3 linked regions of the Arabidopsis thaliana genome follow. The protein of the gene in region 2 interacts with the protein of the main gene of each other region in a pairwise test. Each region holds a gene or a part of one and is shown on either strand. Other genes may lie near its edges.

Region 1 (8,778 bases), on a different chromosome or scaffold from region 2:
TCTATAAATAGCTGTATACTCTGGTTAAGGTGGCTTAAACATTCCAAAGGCCTTAGACAGACGTATAATGATAATACATATATTGAACAGAGAGAAACAAGAAACAGCTTACTTCAAAACCACTGTAGAATTTCCCCTTTCCAACCAGCTTATAATGAACCTTTCTTCTCGATGGCTTGTCGAGGAGAGTGCAAACCGAAACAGATGACGCCTTTTTTGCTTTCATGTGCTCAATCAGGCAGCTAAGTGTATTGCCAGTATCCACAATGTCCTCGACCTTTAAGAAAACACATAACTAGTGAATATAAAAAGTAGTGAAATTTCGAATGCTTAAGAGTAAAATAATTACCAAGACATTATCAAATGAGAATGTGAAGCATCAGTGATTCAGTGTGGTCTCCTTTCTAATATATTCATCACATTTTTGCATATCACAAGTGTTCTTCAAACGTTAAAACTCAGAAACCAACATATCAATTTTAAGCTGTAAAGACTCAAACTTCATGAAATTCAAATGAATACTAAAACTCAATTGCTAAAGAAACTGAATCAAAACTGATGCAAAACACATATTACCCAAATCCAGATCCATCACGCATAAAGAGATGGAGATTACCAAGACAACGTGCTTGTTCGTGATGTCAAGCTTTAAGTCAAATGATACTCTGGGAACTCCACTGGATACAGTACCAGAGCCGTAAGACTCAGCTCTAATGAAATCTATAGCTATTGGCAAGTCAATTCGCCTAACGAGATCGGCCAAGAAGAGGCAAGCACCAGTGGCTACGCCGACAAAAATAGGAGTTTCCTCCGAGTCACCGGAGAAATCAGAAGTAATATCGATTCCAAGCTGATTCACCCGGTGCGCAATTACTTCATCGCTGAAGAGTACCTTCTCTATGTGCTTCTCTAACGCCATCGTCTTCCTCCTACTTACCTCCACAACGAAGCTTTTTGATTTGGGTTTTTAGGGTTTGATTCTAATTGCTATTGTAAAAAAACGCGGGAGCTTAACCGAAACTAACCGAAACTATTTACCGTCTTCTGTTAAACAGACCCGGTACAAAATAATTTGGAATTGCCAAATTTTTTGAAGTATATCAAATTGGCGCTAGAACGAAATCGAAAACACAAAATCGAAATCCCTAGAGAGCAGACGACGAAGACGAAGAAGGAGAAGGAGAAAAAATGGCGAGTACTCTCTTCATCGCTCTCCAATGTTACGAGTGTTCAACTATGCAGGTATTAAACTCTCTCGCTCCCTCCTCTTCTATCTCTGTCAATTTATATATTGGTTAGTTTTTAGGGATTTTGTTTTGGGGTTCGAATTCGCAGGTGAAGCAGAAGAAGAAAAGTAGTAACAAGTGGGTTTGTGTGATATGCAATCAGAAGCAATCAGTGAAAAAGGTGTTTGCTCAAGGTTATAAGGCTAAGGAGCTTCGTTTCTTTGTCCAATCGTTTAATATGTCTCGCAAAGTTGCCGATGAAGAGGCACATGCTGTTGGAGATTCGTTTCCAGAGGTTTATGTTGAAGGAGAGGTTAATGAGGAGGTTAATGGAACGAAGAAGCGATCTGATTGGAGTCAATACCTCGATTTCGATTCAGTAAATGATCGCCGGAGATTAGCTGGAGAAGAAGACGGTGAGTCTAATTCGAGAATCAAGCATCTTATGAGACAAAATAGATAAATATGTACTTGGTTTTGCGATTTTGTTGCAGATGTGAAGATTGTCACTGAGATGCCAAGCAATATGTTCAAAAGGCCAAAGCTGAACAAAGAGTCTAATGCTGGTGGATCATCATCAAATACAGGAGGTGAGAATAAAGACAGTAATGAGATCTTCAAGCCTTCTTTCTCCAGACGCAGCATCAAAAAGCCGGATTTTCGATCCGGTAAGAGGAGTTCTGCTACATATGTTGGCCATATATCAGCGTTTAGTTCAAGTAAAGCCGTTGCGAATGTTGTTTATTAAAGGCCTGAATGGTTTTACTAAAACAATATTCTCCTATCCTTCAAATGTGTTGCAGATGAAGTAGTGACGAGGAAGAAGGATATGGAAGAGAGGAATCTAGAGTCAGAAAGAGTTACTAAGCCAGCTTCGAAATGGGACGCCTACTTAATCGATGACGAAGGAGAACACCAAGCACCACCGCGATTTGGTGTTAAAAAGGCCTTGAAGGATGACGAAGTAGGAGGATGGGACAGAGCAGTAATGGAGATAAATACGGAATATCAGATAGTAGACGACGAGGTACATCCAGATTTCATGTGATCAGAATGTTTAACCAGAATGCCGATTATTAGATAAAATGCTAAATGTAAAGTTTCTGAAACGAATTTGGAGTTGCAAAAGAGTTGACACATTAAATAGACTCCTAACGAAACTAGAGAAAGTGCTAAAGAGTAAAAGTCTCAATGCTAAGGGAAAAACTCAAAACAATCTATCAAAGAGATGTAGAAAAGAAAAAGCTAGTTTTAAAGGTCCTAAAAGGTATTAAAGCAACTGTCTAAGAAAGCGAGAGAAACATAGTCTTGAGTAAACAGTATGTTCACTCGGATGAGGATAGAGCAAACTGGTCATCAACAGATGACACAGCTGCTGGATCAGCAGAGCGTCTGAGAACATCCAGAGCCTCGGACACTTTAGCCTTAAGAGCTTCAGGTGACTCAAGAAGGTGCAAAATCTCAGCTTGATCCATCTCCAGCAACATCCCGGTAACTTTAGCAGCATTTGCTGGCTCCTGCTGCTCCACAAGTGGGTAAAGATGATCCCCAAGCATCTGTCATCAATTCACAATGCAATGATATTGTTAACAAATATAGGTTATAATGCAAGTACTAAATGAGATAAGAGAAGAAAACACAGGAGATCACTAACCCGTGGGTGTTTGTCGGGGCTAGCCAAAGCCAAATCAGATGCGAGCTTAGAAATGGTGAGGGGAGTTGGCTTGTGAGAGCGTTGCGGAGCATTGTGAGAGTTTGCAGATGCATTCAATGGCAAAGGGATGATGCCTTGTGGAGCAGATGCTTCCATTCCATTCCTCCTGTTGCCTGCGCCTCCCATGAATCTGCTTGCATTTTGCTGCAGCATCTGACAGTTCCAAGATAATAACAAGCCCCAACAAATTCATATTCGTATGATTGTGTTAAAGATAATAAACTTGCTAAAAGACATAAGAACTAATGATAAAAACTTTACTTGTTGTTGCTGAAACTGCTGCTGCATGTTATTAGCACCACGCCTGAACCCAACACGAGGGCCAGGCTGAGTTTGCCTTTGAAGAGGGAAAGGCATCATGAAGTTAGGCGGGCCTGCACCTGGACGCATCCCAGGCATGAACTGAACTTGGTACCCATACCCCATAGGCTGTGAAGGTACCAAACCTTGACCGTTATGGCCTATGAACATTGGATGGTGTGGTCCTGACATTGGCCCACCTGGTGGGTGATGATGGAACCCAGACATCGGTGATGGAACTGGTGACATTGTTCCAGGTGATCTGATTTGAGTAAATAGACTCTGAAACACGTGAAAACATCAAGACAGTTTAAGAACTCAGTGTCACAACACAACACAGTACAGAGTTTGATGTTCAAAGAGTGAGAGGGCTAAAAAGAACCTGAAGGTGAGCCTGTCTTTCTTCCTTACGTTGTGCCAAAGCAACGTAAAGAGGTTTCCTTCCTATCATCTTCCCATTCATTTCTTTCATCTGCGTAATCATCAACCCCAATGAACATTTTAGTACCAATTTTATAAAACATTTATGTATATGTAAAAAGATTGTCAATTCAGTTGAAACTTACAGCTAATAAAGCTTCTTCAGGATTGGAGTAAGCAACAAAACCAAAACCTCTGCTTAAACCTTGTGAATTCATCATAACCTAATTATGACCACAAACAAAACATTTTAATTCATTATATTGTGTGGTATAAACTTATGTATAAAGTTTAGAGATGTTTAGAATCAGAAACAAACCTTGCAGGAAGTCACATTCCCATACTCAGAGAACATCTCCTTGAGCTTCTCATCATTCACACTATCATCAAGGTTCTTCAAATACAGATTCGATCCTTGCAATTTCTCAAACCTGCTTATCCTCTCTTGCTCAAACTTCCTCCTCAATTCCTCTTCCCTATCAGACTTCTTCTGTGCCCTACCAACATACAACACATCCTCCCCAAGGCTGATACCGTTCATCTTTTCAACAGCAACTGCAGCAGCTTCAGGGCTCACAAAGTTGACAAACCCGAAAGACCTCGAGTTCCCACTCTGATCCTTCATCACAACCGCACTAGAAATATCTCCATATTTCCCAAAAGTCTTCTTAAGCTCATCATCAGTAATCTCCTTAGGAAGATTCTTAACATAAACGTTAGTGAAGCTCGGCACCGCACCACTCTCACTACGTGCCCTGTCTTGACGACGGACAAAATGGCCAACAAAGACTTGCTTATCATTAAGCAACATACCATTAAGCTTGTCAATAGCAGCCTGAGCGGTTTCCTCTTTCTCAAACTGGACAAAGCCATATCCTTTCGAACGTCCCACCACATCCATTGCAACCTTGCAAGAGAGAATCGTCCCGAAAGACGAGAAAGTTTCATACAAAGCTTTGTTATCAATCGATGCATCAAGGTTTTTGATGAAAACATTGCCTTTCCCACTCAATCTAGTGCTCGGATCACGATTAGAGAGCATGATCCTTATAGGCCTGTCTCTGATCGGAGCATAGTTGAGACTTTCCATCGCACGACTCGCTGATCCAATAAAAAAACACAAAACTTTAATTACAAAACAGCAAAACAAAACAAAACAAAACAGCAAAAAGAACAAAACCACAAAAGCAAACACATGAACAATATTATATTCCTGTCGTAATCCATAATAATAATATTAAATTCCTGTATGATTGTTTATAATATTTACCATCTTCAGGGTTAGCGAAATTGACGTAAGCGTAACCAAGAGAACGATGAGTCAGATCACGACAAACCCTAAGATTGTGAACTGGAGCAACTTGATTAAAGAGATCCAAGAGATGTGACTCATTGACACTCGGATCTAAATCTCCGACATAGAGAGACGAGTTTGGATGGGTTTGCAAAGCCTCCGCGGCAGCAGCAGCAGCAGCAACCGCCGCAACCTGACTCACGGCAGGGAAAGGAGGAGGAGCAGCAGCAGCAACCGTGGGTTGATTAGGGATCACTTGATCAACCATGGCCGTCGTCGGGGCAATTCCAGATGCAACCGCCGCAGCCATAGCGATAAGATTTCTAGGTTTTTCTAGGGTGAGACAGAGAGATTTCTGTTTGTGGTTTTCCAAAATTTTTAGGGGAGAATATTTATTTTTATATTTTTTCCTTTTTTTTTTTGGGTTACTCCGGTGAATAAGAAGAGGAGTAGAGAGACTCGAAAGGGTGTGAAAGAATGAGAGTTGGTATTTATACATTCGCTAACCAACCGGTCCCTACGGATCAGAGTTTGATTTGACGTGGCTTTTGAGTTTTGACTCAGCTTTTTAATTCACATCTGGGATCTTTTTGTGGGCCAATGGGCTTTTTCTGTCCTGGCCAATAATCCAATGCCACATGTTTTTTTTTTAATGATAATCAATTATATTATATTATAAAAATTTAAATTTATATGATATATAACCATCCAAATACAACAATCATTAAAACAAATAAAGAAAACTGAACACAATTTTGACGAAGAAGTAGAAGGGATCATGCGTTCTAAACGGAAGCCGCAACCGAATGAATCTGTTAAGTCTGCTCTTCATATACTCGCAAAAAACTACGACTAACGTCTTATAGATGAGATCTAGTGCCACATAGATATTTATGTTTTTTCTTAACATCTTATTACTCTACTTTTTTTTTTTTTTTTTCCGTCTACTTCTCCTTCTTAATTATTTTGTTGTTATCGTCATGTCTGTTTTTTTTGTTAAAAGAGGCTTTATTGGTTCATAATTTACACGAAATTTTGATGACTTTAATAATATCATAGAAAGTAAATAAATGAAAGATTATAAACTATTGCTAGAGAGTTTTTTATAATCTTGTTGATTTGTTTTTCACAATCTCGTAAAAAAATTTAAACAATCTCTCGATTTTGATGATACTTTCATGATTTTATTTTGTGAAGAAAAATGTAAAAAATCATAAACCATTAACAGAATAATTTAATTCATTAACAATCATAGATTATTTTGTTTTAATTGAATAACGCAAAATATTTAATAATTTTATAAAAATATAAATCAAATAACTTCAGATTTATGAAGATTTTATATTACTTTTTACAAATTCTAAACTAATAACATCTACAATAGTTTAGAATCTTTCATTTATTCACTTTCAATAATATTATTAAAATCATCAAAATTCTTAGTAAATTAGGAATTCCAGATAGTGTCAAGCAGGATGTTATCAGCAACGTCAACGCAGCCGCGATAAACTCAATTTTATACATTAAATCAATATCAACATATTTCCATAGAATTGTTTAAAACATGAGACAGATTTTTGGTATGCCACAAGGCTAATCTATAGAATTCATGGACAATATTTTGTGGATGAGACAATTTTGATCTTTAAAAAATTCCATCATCAATAAATACAACAGTTGAAATCTATTGAACAGAGATTGCTAAGTACTCGTGATTAATAGAGTAAAATGTCAGACTCTAGTCGACTAAATATTTTCTACCACCAAAAAGTAAGTTCGATATGGGTGATGTTGTCATTCATTTTAGATATTTCTGAAACACTATCTGACATATGTACGAAACTGAGCATGTCATGCGTTACAAGACTAAATTTTCATATTATCAGGGAGGAATGTAGAGATTAAATATGGACAGGCTTGTTGCCAAACTATTGGGTTTTAGAAAATAAGTATCAGTTTCCATCAAAATGGCAAAAACCAAATCGCATTACACATGGAAATGCATAAAACTATAAACTTCAACAAAATGCAAATGAAGAAAATGATTGCTCTCTCTTAGTTCTGAAAGCAAGCAATTTGGCGCCTCAAGGCGTATCAAAGACGAAGAGTCTTGCCAAGGAAGGGAACTTGTTGGGTTAAGGCAAGAGAACCTCTATATATATGGTCGATGAAAGACTACAAATTTCGACCACATTTTAAGCGAGACGAGTGTTAGGGTCTGCGAAACTACCAGCCATACTTCTTGAAGAAGTCCCTGGTTCTCTTTCTAGCTCGAGTGAAAACTATAACTATGCATGCGAGCACCCATGGAGGAAAGGTCCCAATGGAGATGTTGTTCTTGATCCAAGCTGGAGGGTCTTTCAATAGAAATGTTATTAAGAGCGTAACAATCACAACTCCGAGAATGATTCTGGTGATGGGTTTGAGCAGGGAATCCTGAAAACAAAAGGTGTTCAAATTAATAGTGTTATCAGATGAATCACCCAATTAAAGCTGCATGTTTTAATGCTTTTTTTTTCTGTTCTTGCAACAATATTATCCAAAGACTTTTTACGCCCCAACGAAGTCAGAATACCATGACATCCATTCTAGTTTCTACATGCGTATTCTAAATCTATGAGCCATAGGAGTGATTCCAAGAAATTGTTTACTTTAAGTAAGAATACAAGCTTTGACCTAAACCTAAGGTTCCATGAGACACCGAATCCACGTTAATTGATATTCCAGGGCAATTGAAGAGTAAAGAAGCCTAGAAAGTCTAGAGACATGTATGAGGTTTATGAGCACAATCAAAAGAAAACCATCAACTTATCTAAATGCAGAACGCCAATGTAGAGTAATTCTACAATCCAAGGGTATGAAGAACATGTAAAGGAGACAAGAAGCAGATTGGGTCCTATCCTATTCCTTAATCATGCGTTCAGAGAAGGTCCAACAGATGCAATGCAACAATATTCACCGTGAGTTTATTCATTCAAGCATCAGTAGGGAACTATAACTAAGCTAAGGAGATCGTTCTCTGTCCTTTTTTCCTATTGCGTAAGTGAAAACTCAAAATCAAAACAATCAGATTACCTGAGGTTCACCGTCGATGTAAATGACGGCACCATCCCTATAAGGCAACACAGACCGACCATTCCTAGGGTGAAATCTGATCGGAACAGCACGACCTTTCTCAACGTTGAAAGCGAAGATTGCTTTCAAGCCATATTTCTCAAGAATAGATCGAACCTCGAGCTGATCCTGCTCATAACCGCCGAGATTTGACTTGAACACATCGATCGGACCTTTTCCACACTTATACAGATGAATCTCCACCTCAGGAACCTTCGCCGCCGCGGTCGTCGATCTCAATTCACTTTCCGGTTGAGAATTTTCGAGCAACGGAGTAGTCTCTTCAATCTCTTGATGTGGTGGTGGTGGATCTCTCTCCTTCTCCTTCTCCGTCATCGATGACATGACTAACAATTCACCGTCCGATGGAAAAAAAGATTTATAATCCCAGGAAAGCAAAAAATAAATATTCTGTTCATAACGACGTCGCTTAGTAAAAGGCCTCGTAATGTTTGGGCCTTATGATGGGCCTAAAGGGTATAATAGACAATAAGAGATTGGTTATTCGGTTGTTACCTTTTAGTTCGTCTTCTCAGAGGAGAAGTGTTTTTTTTCTCCGGCGAGGTTGGAAAAAAATGGAGGCAGCTTTGGGACTTCTCCGGAGAATGCCGCCGAAGCAGTCGGAGACGGCTCTATCTGCTCTTCTAAGCCTCATTCCTCAACATTCTTCCGATCTTCTCTCTCAAGTCGATCTCCCTCTTCAGGTATTT
Region 2 (6,244 bases):
TTGTCTGATTCAATCATATCCTCAGATTCAGATTCAGATTCCGAGATCCAACTAAGCCGAGTAAATAGCTAATCAATAAACCTAATAAGCAGATTTTGTGATGGTTCCCATATCCTAAATTACTTCAAAGACCTAAATCAACAATGAAAACCCTAGAAAATCGAACCCTTGTTTGCCATCTGTGAGCCAAGTACCTGCTGCTGGAGAATTCGCAGAAATTGCAGGGCCCTCTCGTCTTGTTCGTTAGATCTCTTCGCTTCCTCTTCATCTGATCGCCCTCTCTCCCCATCGAATCGGATCGACCGAAACCCAATTTTTCTTTTTTTCCACTTTGGAAATTGCGAGGATTGTTGTTACATGTATAGACGGAGTTTTTTGCCAAAAAAAAAAAAAAAGTACAGACGGAGTTTTTTTGGTCCAATATTATGGAAAATTTCCTAAAGTAATTTAGGGAAATTGAGTTGTTTGACCACAAAAAGAAAAATTATGGACATTGAGTTTGTTACACATTTTGCTAGTAGCCGCATAACATCAATAGATGAAATTGAATTAGATAATCAAATCATAGAGCCCAAAATGACTAACAACCAAATTAGAGTGGAAAAAAAACAGAACCGCAAGAACCCAAATTCTAGACGAACCTGAGATTTTGACTGTGTAGTTTCTGGGAAATTTGATTTGAATGCTTTTGGGTCCGGATTCACAGGTGAAATTCTTACCATCCACTGCAACCTCGTAATCACCTGGAGAAATCGAATCAAAACACACGAAGATTCATTTGATTGATCGGAGTTTTCTGAATAAAATCAAGGGCTTTCCGAGTTCTTACCGATAGAGTACAGAGAAGACTGCATCGGCGATGCTCTCTTTGGCGCCATTGTAATAATTCAGAGCGGGATTTCAAATAATTTACTTTTCAGAAAACTGGAAAAAAAAACGAAACGTCGAGTGTATAAATAAGTTTATCAGAGGGTATTTTCGTATTAACATAGGTGTCTTAAAGCTCTGTTCTAGCCAAAGCGCTGCGTTTTGGAGCGTTTCTGATCGTCTGACTAATCATTTGTTCGAATGTCAAATCGACGACTTGTGGAGTCAAAAAAACAAAGCTTCAAGAGTCAAGACGAGAGTTTTCGCATCAAACGAAAGAAAAGTCTCATTTTCCCCATTTTTGATGGGGAATTTACTAAGTCCGGTTTAAATTTGGACATGTCTTCGGTATCTCAATTCCGAGCTCGAAATGAACTTGGTGTCGTCGGCAATGTTTGCAAGTTAAAACATGTTCGACACTCCTGACCTTTTGCGTGTATTAGCATTATGATGTAATCGACATCCTTTTCTTAGCCACCAACCTTGTAGAGTTCTAGTCTTTAGAGAACTGATCATTTTCAGTAGCTGAGACGTGAAAACCTTCTATATTTGAGCTCTGCGATGGCTTTCTTTTGGTCGTAAAGCCAAAGCAACATTGATGCAACTGCTTCCGGTAGCCATCACCGATGCAGGATAAGACTTTTGGTAATTGAATAGAATTGCTCAGACAAAGGTAGGAAATAAACTCTAGTTCTCATTTCTCTTCAAAGTTTACATTTTTTTTTTTTTATGTTTTTACATTTTTGTGATAGCAAGTTTGAGAATGAACATCATAAAGATACAAAGTTACAGATTTTTGTTGTGGAAGCAAATACTAAAAATTACAAAGGTACAGTGGTGGCTAAAGATACACAGACCGAACTGCTCTGACTTCTCTGACTAGTTAACAACATATCTCTTCAGCGAGGCTGGTGGATGTTTCTCGGAGCAGCAGCAACCCTCTGGTTTCCCCATTTCGCTGGCTTTTCCGCATACTTAGCTGGTTCCACAATCGATCTCGGGCTCCTGTTTCCACTTGATTTCTTAACCATCTCACCATTCTTTCCAAAGCCTGATGATATATATAAACAACAATTAGCCTCCACAAATCTACTGATCTTGGATGGTTCTATGTATCAGGGGAATGAAACCGACTTACCAAATTCGGAAGGTGCTTGGTAATACATTCTTCCATCGAATCCTTGATCAAACTCAGCAGCATCAGTGTCAAAGAAATCTTCCATATCATCAAAATCAAATGATTCTGGAAGAAGATCAGCTACATCGATATGACCTCCACCATTCTCATTCTCTCCGTTGTCATAGAAACCATCCGCGCCTTGCTGCTGCTGACTGATCCAGTAATCAGGGTACCAAGTCGAAGTTGTCACCAATTGCCACCACTCCGGTGAGAAATCTTCCACTTGTCGTACAGCTGCCGGAATAAAAAGAGGTGCGTCGGGGTTTAGAGTAGATCGTCTTCCTGATACCATCGCCATTCTCAAAACTCTAGATCTGCACACACAAACAAACAAGCTCAGTTCAAATTCAAATTCAAATCTAACAACTCAATCACAACATAGCTTAATCCTTAGATCAATAGATCTGTACGATCAGTAAACATAGCAACAATAAGTTTCCGATTAGATCACTTGAAGTAGGACAAGTACAAGTTTGAAATCGAGAGAACTGAAGATAAATCAAGTTTTAAGATAGATCAACAACCATCACAGAGATCTAATACCATGGAAACCAATCAAATCCTTCAAAATCCACGAACTTCAAATATAGAAATTGATCGAGTAGAGAAGAAGACAACATCAGATCTTTACCTTGGCCGAGGAAAATATCTGCTGCAACTTGCTCAAGTTGATCAAGTTGATAAATATGTCTTCTTATTTTTTTAAAAGCTAAACGGATTAGGATCATTCACCAGAACCTACGTTGCGAGAAGATGAGAAGAAGAAGGACTAATATATAAAGTAAGGTTCGGTGACGAAGCTGGGGTTCGTAACGTCGAGGCAGGATTAAAGGTGAGACACAAGTGGGTAGGTCTGGACCCATAGCTAACATGGTTCTGAGTAATCAACCGTCCACGTGTAGACGCGTTACTGTTGGCTTTTATTGACTTTCTTTTTCGTTCCAATCCTGTTGGCTACTCACACTAAAAAGTTAAATTATTATTCTTTCTATAAAATATCTTAAATTTGGTCGGAAAGAGGATAAGGTAGGAGGAAACTAATCCAATATAAGCCCATTTATGACCGTATGGGCCTAACCCACTCATGATTTTGTTTTACATCATCATTTTGGGCCTAATCCTAGAATCTACTTTTGGTACTTACGTTTTCGGTATTGTATCGTGTAAGTACCAAAAGTAGATTCTAGGATTTACGTAATGTCTGAGATGTGCATTTTTATAGGACATCAAGTTTGAAAAGCTAACCAATGACAATGAAGAACCAAATTCTAAGGTAATCTATACAAGGACACCAAGATCATTAAGGTGTCGAACAACTAGGATTATCGAAATGAACATACATAATTTTCTGCTTCATTGTTATGTTGCAAAACGGAATGACTGATCATATTTTCTTCTTTGCATCAACCACTTACGGTCAGTTTTAGAATAGCAGTGGCAAAACTAGTAGATGAAGTAGCTCAAAGAGAACGATGTGTAATTGGCGGGAAGGAAAATGTTGTAGTGAAGTCCAGGCCATTGCTACTTTCACAATGTGATTCAGCAAGCCTTTTCAAGAGATTGGAAACCTTAAAATGTATATATGTACATGAATATCTCCTCTTTTTTAGTATACATTGGAAGTAGGTAAGTGGGGTTTAGAATGTAGACACTTTTACTTTATCTATTGTGTACATCTATTTATCATATGTTGTAATGTGTCTTAAGTCAATCGACTCGATAAAACAAAATGAATTTCTATATTCTAAGGAAATTTGAAGTAAGATACAAAAAGAAATTAAGCATCACTAGATTTCATACAGAACATTAGAAAAAACAACAGAATAAACAACCAATCAATAATCTTTGTTCTCCAATTAATTAAGTTCTATTAAACAAAAAAAAAACAGAAATAATATCGCTGCAAAAGGCAGAAACCGCGTGAATCTTGTTTTAATTTAACCTTTTTTATTGGTAGTTTCATTTTAATTCATCGTATTGAACGCTAGCCTAAAGTTATGGATAAAAACAAGAAAAATCAAATAACTGCAAAACGCGTTATACTTAAAACACTCTCCTCTTTTCCTTGTCCTTCTCTATCGCTTCTATAAACTTTTTCGATCTAAGGTTCGTGATCTCCTTCTTCTCTACGAAGTTTACACTTTTTCTTCAAAGGAAACAATGAGCCAGTACAATCAACCTCCCGTTGGTGTTCCTCCTCCTCAAGGTCCTCTTTCCTTCTATTTTCGATTACTTTTAGAAGTTTCGGTTTTTAGATTTGTAATTTTTTCTTAGATCTGCTTAATTTGGTACTGATTATTGTTTTTGTACGACGGATCTGAATTTTGTTTGTGCTGAAATTGTATCAATAGGTTATCCACCGGAGGGATATCCAAAAGATGCTTATCCACCACAAGGATATCCTCCTCAGGGATATCCTCAGCAAGGCTATCCACCTCAGGGATATCCTCAACAAGGTTATCCTCAGCAAGGATATCCTCCACCGTACGCGCCTCAATATCCTCCACCACCGCAGCATCAGCAACAACAGAGCAGTCCTGGCTTTCTAGAAGGATGGTTAGTCAATAAACACACTCCATTATATTTAATCTGTTTTTACTAATTAGATTTTGTGTATAGTTTGAATTTGACTATATTCCTTATTTTAAATATTTCTTCTAGAGATTCTTTGAACAAAAGGTCATGTGGTTTTAGCTAGAATATTCCTCTGTAGAGGTTGACTTTTTGTGATCTCTGTTCATTCACTGATCACAGGACAATTGTTGTTGTGTTTAATGAATTTGCATCTTTTAGGATTTAACATGTTTGCATGATCTAGCTACTGGTTACTACAACATTGCATGCTTTAAAGAAACTAGAATTGTGATTGTGTTCTTGTCGTTATTGGTTTGGTAGTGTTTAACTGTTTATGAGTACTTGAAACTATACTTGTACAAGTTTTGATAAGTAAATTGGCTTAGCAAGATGGATCCTTTTTGTGTTCTCTGTTCCTTCACTGAATACAGGATAATTGTTGTTCTTTGATGGCTTTACTTAACAGTGTGAATCGGATGTTGTTTTTGATGAATGTGCATCTTTTAGGATTTGATTGTTTGCATGATCTAGCTACTGCTTACTACATTGCATGTCTTAAAGCAACTGGATTTGTTTTTAATACTGATTGTGAAATGTAAACACTGTTTTTGCTTTTGCAGTCTTGCTGCTCTGTGTTGTTGCTGTCTCTTGGATGCTTGCTTCTGATTGGAGTCTCTCTCTCTCTGCATAAAGCTTCGGGATTTATTTGTAAGAGGGTTTTGGTTAAACAAAAACCTTAATTGATTTGTGGGGCATTAAAAATGAATCTCTCGATGATTCTCTTTCGTTTTATGTGTAATGTTCTTCGGTTCATAACATTTTAACTATTGTCTATCGACGTTCTGCCTTAGTTTGTATTTGATTATGGGAATGTAAATTGGTTGGGAGACACTATTCTATGCCATAGTTTATTGCTTGGATCTTAAAATCTTTGTGTTCATAATTCGTATGGTCACATCTCAATGATCCAGTTTTCGTCCATCTATTATTGATTCTTTCAATAGACAAGTATTAGGTTTGATATTGAACGTCATTGAAAGAAATAATTTCGTTCTCTTGGGATTTTCACGAAATGTATGGTCTTCTATCCACATGGGTTGGTTTCCATTATTGATGTTAGGTCATGGTTTTAATCTGGGAGAATAATATGTTAGGTAATGGTTCTTTTGTCAATAAGAAGGATTTCGTACACTTTTATTATCATGGAATAAACTAATCACGAAATCATGCACAGAAAGAAAAGTATATTTCATTACCAATATTGCGTCAAAATCATGCGTCTGCTCATTCTATTACAAATTTACAACTATAGAAGTATCAATGGCAGAGATCTATCAAAATCCCAACAACATAACATCCAAAACAGTTAAGACTAAAGAAACGTAGAAGCATCAGTCGACCCACACCGCTTTGTTTCGTCGTTGACATAAAGAATCAAACCACTTTGGTTCTTTTCTGCGACAACAATCGCCTTCTCTTTCTTAAATGCATATGTCGTCGAAACTGATTGAACACAAGGCTTGGTCTTCTCGACACACTCTACTCGACTTGGCTTCGGATAATAGAAATCCGTTGGGAAAAAATTGAACTGAAGAAGACCCGACATTGAATTTTGTAGATCAA
Region 3 (5,787 bases), on a different chromosome or scaffold from region 2:
AATATAAGGTCGCATTAGCAAAGATACATGTTCAACATATAACATACCTGCTTGGCCATGAGCAAAGTGACACTTATCGCCAAAAGGACATTGACCCGTGATGTCAAACTTCATGCACAACCTCGTCTTCCAGTACACAGTCTTGACAACACCACCATTGTTCATAGGTGCAGGTACCGGGATGCTTCCTTGTCTATTTACTTCAATAAGATTAGAAGCAGTATCAGATGGTTGATCAGCAGCAGTAGCACCAACACTTATAACCGAGCTCTCTCTCAACTTCCCCGAGTCCTCACGAAACTTTGACAGATCCTCATGAATAAAATTGCACCTGTCCCCATAAGGACACTCTTCCCCAAAACAAAACTTCCTACAAAGCTTCATCCTCAAGATTATCTTCTGATCATCTTCCCAATTATTATTCACAACAGGCGCCAAAGACGGTCTTTCCCTCTCCCTTTCCCTCTCTCTCTCCCTCTCCCTGTCTTGACCAGCAGGAGGAGGTCCAACAATTTCCTGCCAATTCGACGGAGGCTGCCTCAAATCCTCAATCCCATGAGCAAAATTACAGAGTTCACCATTCCTACAAGTCCCTGCCCTGAATTTAGCACACATTCTAGTCTTATAGAATATATTAGCAGTCCCTTTGTTCACAGGAGGAGGGTTCAAAGATGGAACCATCCAAGGATTGCTACTCGAAGGCTGAGGAAACGACGAAGCAGGATTAAACAAGTTATCATCAACAAGTCTAGGCCTTTTCAATGCAGGCTGTAATTGCTGAGACGGTTGAGATTGTGATTGTGATTCAGATAGTGAATGCAAGTCTCCTTGTTCATTGTTCATTGGATTAGCCATTGAATCAATCATCTGTGTTTGATTCCAACCACCATAAGGTGATTGCACGAACATGGGACGAGAATCAGAGTAACTCGAATCCATAACTGTAACAAAGATCGAATTTTGCGATTACAAATCTTATCTACACAACCAAACTAAACTAAATTCTTCAACTTTTGATAACGAGACTGCAAAAGGATTCAATCGCAAGAAAAGTCATTGGCTAGAGAGAATCATAATGCTTGAAACTATGATGTACAAAAACACGATTTGAGTGCAGAATTCGAATGGATCAGCGAGGAGGAGAGTAATATGCGAATGACGTGAAGAGTCAAGGTTAGAGCAATACCTGGATCAATGATGGCGGCGGCAGATTTGAGAGAAGAAACGCGATTTAGGGTTTTTGAACATCTGATATATAAATACCTCTTTATCTTCTTCTTTTTTTTCTTTTGGATTAAGAAACTGATGAATAGTGAATAAATTACGTAATCGCTATGGTTTTAATAATTTTGTATCCTTCAACACATTAAATAAAAATAATAGTATATGTATATTATGCATATATTTTAAATTATCTAATTATATCGTATAACATTAAAACTTAGGTTCTCATTTTTTCATAAATCATATCTATTTGCTATGATTGATTTGGTCTATTGTGATTCACTGTTATAATTTAGAGATTTTATTTGACTTAAAAAGTCAAATTACTTTGAAACATTTATTCGGTATTTATCAAATTGAAAATATATAAGAACATATGAAAAACATTTTTTCATGATTATTATTCATTTGTCTCGATTTTGTTTTTTCCTTTTCTTTATTATTATAAAATATATACGAATTCTATATGCTTTTCGATTGTTTACAACAAACACAAATTTAAATATAAGTTATGATACAACGAGAATACTAGTATAAATTATAAAATTCCATGTCTTGGTTTTATGTTTTGAAGCAACACTTGATGTATATGATAGATATGTTAACAAAGTAAATCAAACTATTATTAGCCTTTTATCCTAAAAGATATAAATACAAAAAGGATAGAGGGTATATATGGTTGGTAAAAAACTAGCAACTAAAAAGATTGGTTGGTAAAAACTAAATATTATCTACTTACATCATACAAAGTAAAATAAAAACTAAACATTATCTACTTACATCATACAAAGTAAAATAAATCTAAATATTTAAATAAATATGTTTGGATTAAAACTTTTTGAATACATGATAATAAAAATATCTTACGGGCTACTAAAAATATCATTTATTTAGTGTTTAGTCATGCTTTACATTATCGATATAGTTGAAATCAACATAAATTATTACTATTATATATATGTATATATATTTTTTTCTTATTTAATAGAATATAAATATATATATATATATTTTAATATAAGTAAGATTAAATATGAAAGAAAGAAGTTTAGATATTACTAAGGGATACATTGTTTACAAATTAAAAATTCAACTTAACTAAAACATCAGTTATAACCACTCTAGTAATTATTTGGACGAAGCAGAACTTATTTTATTTTTATTATTGTCTTAAAACATTTGGATACACTAACATATGATTTTTTTTTTTTTAAATGAAAACAAAGATTTAAAACTCAACTTAAAGCCACATTTTGTTGCTCATATTAATGAACAAAAACCAAACAAACATTTCAAAGTTTAGCGGGGAGCATGGAAGGTAGGAACTTGCTAACATCTTTTTCCCCTAGCAATTTTCATCTGTTGCAGAAAGGAGTGCGCTAGGACCTCCATTGCCTCTTTGACCATTTCTTTGAAGGCTTTAGGTGTTACCAGCAGATGAAGGACCTTGTCTTGGTCCAATTCAAGAATCATTCCTGTGATTTTTGGTGCAAACTGTGGCTCAAGTTCTTCCACCATAAAGAACAAAGTTTCACCAATCAACTACAAAAAAAGAGAAATTTAGGTCATATAAAGATAACATAAACTATATTTGTAAGTAGCTGCAATCTTAAAGTAAGCAAAATCAATTTTACATCTCGTTGTTCTTTGGGAGGTAAAGAAGCAAGATCAAAAGGAGGTGAATCACCACGGGCAACTTTTACAACTTTGTTAAAAAAGCATAAACGATTCATGACTTAAGCAATGAAGACGACGATATATTTGAGAGAAGAAACAAAATTTAGTGTTTTGATGAATAAGATTTCATGTGCTATATATAACAAAACCAAAACAAAATATCTAGGTAAATGCCAATATTCTTTCTTTTTAATAATTGGGGATTCAACACGCTCTTTAGATCATGTGTGTGAACCACGCGCTATAATATAGCTAAAACAAAAATGATATAACACCGTATGCCTATTTTTTTTTTCTATGTAAATAGTATAAAATTTTGGTTTTAGATTTGTCGAAAAACAATGGCTATATGTTAGCACGTATGTTGAACAATGCAAAATTTACTAAATGTATTTTTAATCATTTGTTTTGTATATCTACAAATAACAAAATTATCTAACTCTTAGAATTAACATTACAAGGTAGTGTGATTGGCTTATAATGCATGAGCTTTTATTTTTTATTTTTTTGGGACAAACTAATGTGCATGAATTTTAAAATTAGATTTTTAAAATAAAAATATTGAAAATTTCACAATTTACAATATACAAAAATCGAAAATGTGGTACTTTTGACAAAATCCAATGTTTGTTACAAATTTATACATTGGAATAGAAAGAAATCTAGGAGAGTAATAGCTTACTCAATCAAAAACTGACACGTGTCCTCCATCCTCACCAAGTCAACATTCTCTGTATCTATTTTAATTTTGTAAGGTAAGAAATCTTTTGCACAAAAAAAGAAAAGGTAAGAAATCTTTTGCATTTTTAAAAGAGAAGGTAAGAAATCTGAGAGACTTTGATCTAACCACGCGTTTAAAAGGAGACAGTGAACACACGCGCTATGAATCCATAATCCATTTAGTTGGATGTGAAAGCCCATATAATGTCATGGGCCTAATTTATATAGCCCATATAAACGAAATAGGAAACACACGAGAGACAGAAGCACTGTTTGGGTTTTGGCTATATGAGAGAGATAATAATATTGTGGGAGATTGAATAAGTGAGAGGACCTACCTACCTTGTTGGTCTTTTAACATTACTACAAGTCACAACATTGGTATTGGTCTGAAATTATTCTTCTTTTGAATGTCGGCAAGGAATTTGTTTAAGTACTCTCTACATGATTTTTTTTTAAGAGAAACAGAGGCTGATGTATTATGATATAGGAAGCTTATGTTATACAATGATTGGAGGATCAACCAGAAGATTAGACTTAAGACATAACATAAAGAATAAAAATCACATTATTTGATTATTATTATTATTTATAATAAAAAAAAGGAGAAGAAGCAAGAAATAGAAAAAAGCATTGGGCTGATGATTCGTTGGTCGAGTTCAACGACATTAACTCATTGGAACGCTTCAGTTTTGTTCCTCCTCAGGGTCCGTTACGCTTCTTCTTCTTCTTCTTCTTCTTTCTTCTTCCTCCTTTGTTTCTGATTTCCCAAAAATTCGATCCTTTTGAAATGGCGGAACAACACAATAAGGAAGTGATTCGTCTTGAGCCCGAATCGGTCATCCCTATCCTCAAACCTAAACTCATCATGACCTTGGCTAATCTCATTGGTCAGTTTCTCCAATTTCTTCTTCCCTGTTCTCGGGTTTTGAACCCAAATCCCAAATTTTGCTTTTTTCACAATCGTTGGCCCTTTCTCTGTTTGGTTACAAATTTGGTCGGATAAATTGTGTTTTTGCAGAACATAGCAATGATAGACAAGAGTTCCTTAAGCTATGTAAGAGAATTGAGTACACTGTTCGAGCTTGGTATCTTCTTCAATTTGAAGATCTCATGGTCTCTAACCTCTTTCCTTTTTAAAATCTCTCTTTTACAAACTTGTTTTGCTTTGCTTTCTCATTTATCATGCGCTTTTGAATTTCCAGCAACTATACTCTCTGTTTGATCCTGTACACGGTGCTCAGAAAATCCAGCAGCAGAACTTAACTTCTCAAGAGATTGATGTCCTTGAACAAAATTTCCTAGCTTACTTGTTTCAGGTTACTCTCTTTGATTAGGATATTATCTCCTCCCTTATATTTATCTATGTCATTGTTCTTGAAATGTGCCTCTTTTTCCCCCCGCTTATAAAGGTTATGGAGAAGAGCAACTTTAAAATAACAAGTAATGAAGAGATGGAAGTTGCACACTCTGGGCAGTATCTTCTCAATCTTCCCATCAAAGTTGATGAGTCTAAGGTTTGTTTAAACAAACTTTCACTAATGCTTGTGTGTTGCCGGGATTCTTATAAAATAGTTTTCTTGCTTTTGGTGGATGAAGCTTGACAAGAAGCTGCTCAAGAGGTATTTTGAGGAGCATCCACATGAAAATATTCCAGATTTTTCTGATAAGGTACAGTTTTTAGTTTGTCTGTAGATGAGCATTTCAAGATTATAGTTTCCTAAAGACTTTCTTGATGGTCATGTAGCGACATGTGTTGATATAGTATTTACCCTTTTTCTTATATAGTATGTCATCTTCAGACGTGGTATTGGATTGGATAAAACCACAGATTATTTTTTCATGGAGAAATTGGATGTGATCATTTCACGTTTTTGGTCCTTTCTCATGAGAATCACCAGGTTAGAACACGTTTCCCAGTCTAGTCTTTCTTAAAGTTCAATACAAGTAAAAAAAGTTAGGCATTTGATTACATGTTGGGTCTTAACACATTTAGATCACAGGTTAGAGAAATTACGCGCCAAAAGGTCAAGCAGTCTTAACAAGAAAGATCCCAAAAAAGATGATGAGCCAAACCCTGACACAGATAATGATGAATTGTATGTGGAGCGTATTCGCCTTGAGAATTCAAAGCTGAGGTTATCATCAGTATCCCTCGCATGTTAT

What was found.
Region 1: the proteins of ERD15 (region 2) and PAB5 interact in a two-hybrid assay, tested with the Arabidopsis thaliana proteins (one study listed by BioGRID).
Region 3: the proteins of ERD15 (region 2) and MPC interact in a two-hybrid assay, tested with the Arabidopsis thaliana proteins (one study listed by BioGRID).

The regions. Positions count from the first base shown.
Region 1 is NC_003070.9:26,988,226-26,997,003, forward strand, and holds PAB5 (poly(A)-binding protein 5), read right to left. Parts: upstream 6,035-8,778; 5' UTR 5,878-6,034; intron 5,383-5,877; 5' UTR 5,265-5,382; coding exon 4,931-5,264; intron 4,762-4,930; coding exon 3,980-4,761; intron 3,885-3,979; coding exon 3,807-3,884; intron 3,713-3,806; coding exon 3,623-3,712; intron 3,523-3,622; coding exon 3,202-3,522; intron 3,094-3,201; coding exon 2,881-3,093; intron 2,783-2,880; coding exon 2,552-2,782; 3' UTR 2,300-2,551; downstream 1-2,299. Other genes in the region: HGPT (Hypoxanthine-guanine phosphoribosyltransferase), read right to left, coding at 113-277, 617-919; AT1G71760 (uncharacterized protein), read left to right, coding at 1,189-1,242, 1,336-1,642, 1,721-1,945, 2,030-2,274; AT1G71780 (WD repeat protein), read right to left, coding at 7,181-7,390, 8,030-8,413; CPB (Subunits of heterodimeric actin filament capping protein Capz superfamily), read left to right, coding at 8,644-8,772. UniProt on the Arabidopsis thaliana protein: Binds the poly(A) tail of mRNA. Appears to be an important mediator of the multiple roles of the poly(A) tail in mRNA biogenesis, stability and translation.
Region 2 is NC_003071.7:17,265,837-17,272,080, reverse strand, and holds ERD15 (dehydration-induced protein (ERD15)), read right to left. Parts: upstream 2,924-6,244; 5' UTR 2,679-2,923; exon of another isoform or gene 2,362-2,678; 5' UTR 2,346-2,361; coding exon 2,006-2,345; coding exon of another isoform or gene 1,983-2,005; exon of another isoform or gene 1,919-1,982; coding exon 1,767-1,918; 3' UTR 1,539-1,766; downstream 1-1,538. Other genes in the region: AT2G41440 (agamous-like MADS-box protein), read right to left, coding at 195-289; WIH2 (proline-rich family protein), read left to right, coding at 4,208-4,253, 4,399-4,603, 5,242-5,287. UniProt on the Arabidopsis thaliana protein: Central component of stress responses that interacts with poly(A)-binding proteins. Negative regulator of abscisic acid (ABA) responses, including resistance to drought and freezing as well as stomatal closure regulation.
Region 3 is NC_003074.8:6,702,696-6,708,482, reverse strand, and holds MPC (maternally expressed pab C-terminal), read right to left. Parts: upstream 3,010-5,787; 5' UTR 2,958-3,009; coding exon 2,859-2,957; intron 2,767-2,858; coding exon 2,554-2,766; 3' UTR 2,356-2,553; downstream 1-2,355. Other genes in the region: AT3G19360 (Zinc finger (CCCH-type) family protein), read right to left, coding at 48-939; AT3G19340 (aminopeptidase (DUF3754)), read left to right, coding at 4,412-4,511, 4,643-4,737, 4,827-4,940, 5,034-5,138, 5,221-5,292, 5,410-5,522, 5,625-5,759.